Linked DNA regions of Sus scrofa. The protein of the gene in region 2 interacts with the protein of the main gene of each other region in a pairwise test. Links are inferred from orthologs where the notes say so. Each region holds a gene or a part of one and is shown on either strand. Other genes may lie near its edges.

Evidence for each region. The genes of interacting proteins can lie anywhere in the genome.
Region 1: the proteins of FSD2 (region 2) and PPP1R18 interact in binary tests that used the Homo sapiens proteins (3 or more experiments, as listed by UniProt). The two-hybrid records come from large-scale screens. The link is inferred for Sus scrofa from reciprocal best matches to the Homo sapiens genes FSD2 and PPP1R18.

What each region holds. Positions count from the first base shown.
Region 1 is NC_010449.5:23,219,474-23,223,213, reverse strand, and holds the start of PPP1R18 (phostensin), read left to right. Parts: upstream 1-918; 5' UTR 919-1,132; intron 1,133-1,751; exon of another isoform or gene 1,752-1,813; intron 1,814-1,829; exon of another isoform or gene 1,830-2,078; intron 2,079-2,350; exon of another isoform or gene 2,351-2,871; 5' UTR 2,872-2,898; coding exon 2,899-3,740. Other genes in the region: NRM (nurim), read left to right, coding at 1-274.
Region 2 is NC_010449.5:52,164,935-52,168,579, reverse strand, and holds part of FSD2 (fibronectin type III and SPRY domain-containing protein 2), read right to left. Parts: intron 2,664-3,645; 5' UTR 2,585-2,663; coding exon 1,943-2,584; intron 1,522-1,942; coding exon 1,426-1,521; intron 1-1,425.

The DNA.
Region 1 (3,740 bases), about 29 Mb from region 2:
CCACGTGCTGGGGCTGGGTGAGCCCCTGGCCCTGAAGTCTCCCCGAGCTCTGAGACTCTTCTCTCACCTGCGCCACCCCGTGTGCGTGGAGCTGCTGACAGTGCTCTGGGTGGTGCCCACTCTGGGCACTGACCGCCTCCTTCTTGCTCTCCTCCTTACCCTCTACCTGGGCCTGGCTCACGGACTTGACCAGCAAGACCTCCGCTACCTCCGGGCCCAGCTGCAAAGAAAACTCCACCTGCTCTCCCGGCCCCAGGATGGGGAGGCTGAGTGAGAAGCTAACCCTGGTTCCAAGCCCTACACTTCCTCTCCCTCCAATTCCAAACCCCTTCTCATCCAGGACCTGTCTGCTTCAGACCAGAGACCCAAATCCAAGGACTGAAGGACCTGTCCCTTCCCCTGCTTAAGCCTCTCCTTCTTGGGTCCAGCTCTAGACCCTAAATTGAGTTTCAGCTACTGGACGCCAAGGTCCACTTCTCACCAGCCAGGAAGAGGGAGTGGGAAACTTTATCTTTCTCCTCATAGTTTAGGGCTTGACCCTCCGTTTACAACCTCCTTACAAGGAGAAGGGCCTGGCCTGACCAATCCCCTGGCCCTGTTACTCGCCTCTGCGCCTCAGGGATTCTCTTCCCACATCTTGCTCCACCTCCTAGAAGCTGGACCAAGGTCTGCAAGTTTGACAATAGAGGCTGCCCCCCACCCCCCCACCCCAGGCTCCAGGCCTTGCAGCTGCAGGCCAGCCCCACCGCCTGGCCTCTCCAGCTCCATAGGCCCTTGCCCTTGGGCTCTATCCTCGAACTTAGTTGGGCAGATTCTCCCGCTCTTAATTCAGGTGACTAAGTGCTCCCTGCTCTCCCGAGGAACTCGCGCTACAAGAAAATAAAATCCAGCCTGGTTTTTCTACATGTAGCATGCAGTCTGTCCAGTGCCTCTCAAGCTGCAGGGCTGATTCTGGGAAGGACAGGCGAGCCAAGCCCGAGTCAAGGCATCCGCCGCGCCCTCTGGCGACCGCTGGGCGGCGGCCACTCCCAAAGGACCCACCCCTCCTTCAAATCCCCCAATTTCCTCGCTGCAGATTTGGGGGCCCCGGCAGGAGACAGGTTGAAGCTGAAGAGTGGGGACAGCGGCTCGGGTAAGAAAGCGAGCTTCCGAAACCTTTGGCTTCCGAGCACAGCTCCTGCCGATGCCCCACCACCGCCACCACCACGGGCCCCCCGTAGCCCTGCGGCCGCCCCGGCCCCCACACTAACAAAGGCTGGCCGGGGAAAGCAAAAGCGTGGGGAGGAGCGGCAGGAGATGGGAAGGGCGGGCCCCGCTCAGAGCAGCTGCTGCTTCCTCCCCAAGTCCCTCGAGGGGCCTGAGTCACGGGCCGCCGCCCTGGGTCGGCGAGCTGGGGGCGGGGGGTCTGGACACCTGGGTTATCCCGGGTTACCGGGCGGGAGCCGGGTGAGAGGCCCTGGGGACAGACAGCGTAAAGGCCAGGGCTTGCGGCGGGAAAAGAGGTGTCCGGGAGCCCAATCCCACGCGGGGTCGAAGAGGGCGAGGCTCCGCCCCCTAGTCCGGCTCCGCCCCGCGCCCCCTTCGCTCTTCCCCATTGTCCTCAGACAAAGCGGTCGCCGCCCCCCGCCCGGCCCCCAGGTCTCTGTCTCCGTTCCTCCTCCTCCGCTCCCTCTTTCCCTCCTCCTCCCCCTCCCTCCTCCCCTCCCGCCTGTCTCCGGATCTCCCTCGATCCCTCTCTCCTCCTCTTCCTCTCTCCTCCTCTCTCCGGACACCAGGCTCCTCCGCACCCCCGCCCCCGGGAGCCCCGCGGCGAGTGAGTTGACGGAGGGGCTTCAGACTTGGGGAGGGTGTCTCCTCTCTCCCGTCCCTTCTCCCGTCCCCGGCCCGGACCTTGGGCTGTCTCCTCTTTGTGCCGAGATTGCCTGTCTGTGCGGCCAGAGCCGGCTGGGGATGGCCGGCTATGTCGGGGTTCCGTGAGAGCCGATACCGGGCACGGGACTGGCAGGCTCCGGAGGCGTGGAGCTGGTCCTTCGCATGCCTGGGTCCCGGGGCACCGCCGGTGCAGGAGGCAGGCGGTGGTACGGGGACCGGGTGGGGGTGGACGCCAGGGTTCTGGGAATGTGCTGGCAGGTCTGACGCCCGGGTTCCGAAAGTCCCCGGGGGAGGGTATTTCCCCTGACCCGCCTCGGGGCGGAGTGCGGGGCGGGGGGTGGGGGCTGGGGGGCCGGAGAGGCGTGGCCCGAGCGGAGCTGGAAGGGGAGCCCGGACCTCCGGGGCCCGTGCTGAGACTCGCCGGGCTGCAGCCGCGGAGCTCCCTCACCCCTCTGCCCCGATTTCCCCTTCTCCCCAGGACTCGTCCACTCTCCGCCCTCCCACCTTCCCGACACCCGTGCAGATCCCACTGCCCCCTCTCCGGCGGGATTCCCTGACCTCTCCTCCAGCTCTCAGCGCTCCTGGGTAGCGGTGAGGCAACCTTGCCTGGATCCTGTTCCCGTCACCCCCAGCCTCTCTTTTCTCTTCCTCCCTCGCGCCAACTTCTTTCGTTTTTCAGTCTTCTCACATCCTCGGGACTGTCTGATGCCCATTAACCTGTGCTGACAAATCTGACTCCTACCTCTGCCCTGAATCTCCACTCTTCCTCTCAACTCCCTCCCCCCACCCCCTCTACCTGGCTCTTAGTTCCTTCTTCGCGTTCTCAGTGTTCCCCCTTTTCTGCCCTCCCTCTTCTCCCTCTTTCCCTCTGTCCTTCCTCACTCTCAGCTCCTCTGTCCTCTTCCGAGTCCCACCTCTCCCCCCACTTCCTCTCCGCCCACCCCTATTCTCACCCCCTGGGCCTTTCTGGAGCCTCTCCTTCCTGTTCTCTGCCCCCAGCGCTCCCCCACCCTCCCCAAGTCGACCATGGCCACCATCCCGGACTGGAAGCTACAGCTGCTAGCCCGGCGCCGGCAGGAGGAGGCAGCCGTTCGTGGCCGGGAGAAGGCAGAACGGGAACGGCTGTCCCAGATGCCAGCCTGGAAGCGGGGGCTTCTGGAGCGCCGCCGAGCCAAGCTTGGTCTGTCTCCTGGGGAGCCTAGCCCTGCGCCTGGGACTACGGAGGCTGGACCTCCAGACCCAGACAAGTCTGCCGTCCTCCTGGAGGCCATTGGGCCAGTGCACCAGAACCGCTTTATTCGGCAAGAGCGCCAGCAGCAGCAGCAGCAGCGGAGTGAGGAGCTACTTGCGGAAAGACGGCCTGGGCTCTTGGAGGCCCGGGAGTGGAGATCCAGCCCTGGGGAGATGAGGGATCAGAGCCCCAAGGAAAGAGAGTCTAGAGAAGAGCGGCTCAGTCCCAGGGAGGCCAGAGAGAGGAGGCTGGGGATAGGGGGAGCTCGAGAGTCAAGCCCCAGGCCTTTGGAGTCTAGGGACTGGAGGCAGAGCCCAGGAGAGGCTGGAGACCGGAGCTCCAGGCTGTCAGAGGTGCGGAAATGGAGGCTGAGCCCTGGAGAAACTCCGGAGAGGAGTCTAAGACCTGCAGAGCCTCAAGAACAAAGCCCCAGGAGAAAAGAGGTGGTGGAAAGTAGACTGAGCCCGGCGGTCTCTGACCACGAGAAGCTGGGCCTGACAGACGCCCATAAACGGAGGCCTGACTCCGGAGAGTCTCAGGAACAGAGTCTGGTGCTGGAGGCATCAGAGTGGAGGCTGAGCTCAGGAGAAGAAAGAAAAGACTGCTTGGAGGAATGTGGGAGGAAAGAAGAGAGGAC
Region 2 (3,645 bases):
ACTTGCACAGAATGGTGGAAGAAAGGGAAAAGCAGCAGATGCCCCCCAGGGTAGAGTTTACGAGGAAGAGCTCAGAGTCCTCACTGAGGGTGGAGGTGCTCTGAGCTGAGAGCGAGCTGGCAGTACTGAGCAAGGGAGTTGTCTACTTACCCTTCTACCTCCATCCGCCTGTGCTTAGACATGGAAGGGTTTGACCTTCCTCTGCCTTCCATAGGGAATTAGTGCAATAGTTCTCCTCCCTTTTAAGATTGGGGGTGGGGAGTTCCCATTATGGCTCAGTGGTTAACAAACCCGAATAGTACCCATGAGGACGTGGGTTCCATCCCTGGCCTTGCTCAATGGGTTGAGGATCCAGCATTGCCATGAGGTATGGCACAGGTAACAGACACGGCTCAGATCCTGCATTGCTGTGGCTGTGGCATAGGCCAGGGGCTGTATCTCCAATTCGACCTCTAGCCTGGGAACCTCCATATGCCATGGGTGCGGCCCTAAAAAGACAAAAGACAAAAAAAAGTTAGAAGGTTGGGATGGGGAGGAAAGTCTAGCTTCAGGGGAAAGGGGCCCAGGGCTCCGTGAGGTGCTCCGGTTGATACACCCCAAGGCTGCCTTCATAGAAGTAGAGCATCCCTGTGAAGAGAGGGGACACAGGAAGTCCTATGGTCCTTAGTCCTGGTCTGTCCATCTGGATGGCTAGGTTGAGTGCTGGCAGTGCACACACAGCAGTGTATACACTTCCTGGGCACACCCAGGGAATGTGTTTGGTGCCAGCACAGAAACATTATTATTATTATTTTTTTTTTTTGTCTTTTTGCTATTTCTTGGGCCACTCCAGCGGCATATGGAAGTTCCCAGGCTAGGAGTCTAATCAGAGCTGTAGCTGCCAGCCTACGCCAGAGCCACAGCAACTCGGGACCCAAGCCGCGTCTGCAACCTACATCACAGTTTACAGCAATGCTGGATCCTTAACCCACTGAGCAAGGGCAGGGACCAAACCTGCAACCTCATGGTTCCTAGTCGGATTCGTTAACCACTGCGCCATGACGGGAACTCCACAGAAACATTATTAATCTTGGAAGAAATAGGTAAAGAAAGGAAAAGAACACTTAGTCATAACAGCCTGGGTGTCTTGCAATGCCTTAATAGGCTGGCCATGAAAGAGTCCAACCTTATAGCAGGAATGGGGATATAAAGACATCGAAGACTCAGCCTCCCCAGGAGAGCTGACAGTTCATTAGGGAATGTTGCCATAGGTATACGCCCACCATGCTACGGGAGGGCAGAAAGAAGGGTGAGGGGAGAGGGGCAGTACTGACTCGATACATTCCAAGAAAACAGATTCTCTAACTGGTGCCAGACACAGCTGCTGACCCCACCCCCGATGGAAATGACATGTGTGTCTGACAGCGTCGTCAGGTGTGCTCTTACCTCCACAGTGATGAAAACCTCCTCCAAGTGACTTGCAAAATTTTCCATCTCAATAATCTGCTTTTCCAGTTTGTACATGTTTTTGTGAATTTCGTCCTATTAAACAAAGGATCCCAAGAAGGCATTAATGCTCTGTCTTTTCTCTCTCTCTTTTGTAGAAGGCATTTTATTTTTATTTTTATTTTTTTGCTTTTTAGGGCTGCACCCACAGCATATGAGGGTTCCCAGCCTAGTGGTCGAATTGGAGCTACAGCTGCTGGCATATGCCACAGCCACAGCAACAAAGGATCTGAGCCATGTATGTGACCTACACCACAGCTCATGGCAACGCCCGATCCTTAACCCACTGAGCAAGGCCAGGGATAGAACCCGCAACCTCATGGTTTCTAGTTGGATTCGTTTCCCCTGAGCCACAATGGGAACTACAGTGGAAGGCATTTTAGATTCATATCCTCCCTACACCCTTGAGATAGAAATGCAATATCAAGAGCAAGAAGAACTAAGGAGATCTATTTACCTTGGCGCTTTCCAGTGCTTTATGGAGTGGGGTTACCTCATGTTCCTTGTGTTCATCAGAAACCTCCAAAGCTCTGACTGGTGTTTTGCAGGTGACACAGAAGACATCCGCAGCTTCATCCTCGTCTTCCTCCTCTGGGATGACGTAGCATTCATACTCCTCACTGGCACGGCCATGGGTATACCTATAGGCTTCCCGCAAGTCCTGGCACTGGTCCGCCGAGCCCCAGCCCCCCAAGCCCAGGTCCTCTGCATTAGCCTCCTCCCCGCTAAGTCTCCAGTCTCTCTGCTCCCTGGCTGCTTCTCTCCCCGTCATCCCATAAGGAGGATACTCTGAAACCTCTATTCTGGGCATGCTTTCGTCAACGAATGCATCGCCTAATTCATGATCATCTTCAAGTCCGTAAAGATGGACAAGTTCATCCACTTCTTCTTCAAGGTCTCTCGGAGCCTTCCCTTTCACGGCTGCTCTTGGTTCGTTGGTCATTTCAGCCTGGACTACCTCTCTTCGCATCCGAGCGTTTCCTTCCGGGAAGATCTGCAGTCTGTCTTCAGAGTCGTACAGATCCACGTGATAAAAGTGGAAATCCTTAGGAGCAGCGGGCCTGCCCAGCCCCGGGGCCTCACCTGCTTCCTCTTCCATCGTGGCTCTGGATGCTCGGGGCAGCCCCTCTGCACAGGAAGGTTTCTTTTTGGACAGTTATTAATAGATATCCTGGGTCCTAGAACAGAAAACCCCATTTCTGAGGTCAGTGCACTAGATGGTTATTAGATTGGGCTCAACTCATCCACAATTTTTTAGAAAAAAAAAATCATCCAAGCATCTTAGTTGTAGTTTCACTTTAAGTGATCTATAAAGAAAGATTTGTTTTTGAAGCTCCCGTTGTGGCTCAGTGGTAATGAACCTGACTAGGATCTATGAGGACGCAGGTTCAGTCCCTGGCCTTGCACAGTGGGTTATGGATCCGGCGTTGTGAGCTATAGTGTAGGTCACAGATGCAGCTTGGATTCCAAGTTGCCGTGGCTATGTTGTAGGCCAGCAGCTATAGCTCCGAAACGACCCCTAGCCTGGGAACTTCCATATGCCGAGAGTGTGGCCCTAAAAAAGACAAAAATTAAATAAATAAATAAATAAATAAAGGAGTTCCCATCGTGGCTCAGTGGTTAATGAATCCAGCTAGGAACAGTGGGGTTGTGGGTTTGATCCCTGGCCTTGCTCAGTGGGTTAAGGATCCGGCGTTGCCGTGAGCTGTGGTGTAGGTCGCAGATGTGGCTCAGATCCTGAGTTGCTGTGGCTGTGGTGGAGGCCAGTAGCTACAGCTACGATTAGACCCCTAGCCTGGGAACTTCCATATGCCAAGGGAGCAGCCCTAGAAAAGGCAAAAAGACAAATAAATAAATAAATAGGTTTTTTTTTTTATGGGTGGACAGGCTTCCTAAGCGTCAAAGAGGAGAAATTACGGAAAAAAAAAATCTGTAAATTGATTTCACTAACAAACAACTCCTATGTACTTAAAAAACCTAAAAATCTCCAAAAGCCAAATAATGGGCTTGTCTCAGGCAATTATTAATAAGCAAATTATATAAATTAATTGAAAAGAAGAAATCTCAATAGATTACTGAGCAATGACAAGTCACAAAATAATTTCTTTTGCATGTAATATTACCTGTATAAAAACATTTGGAAAATAATTCATCTTTATG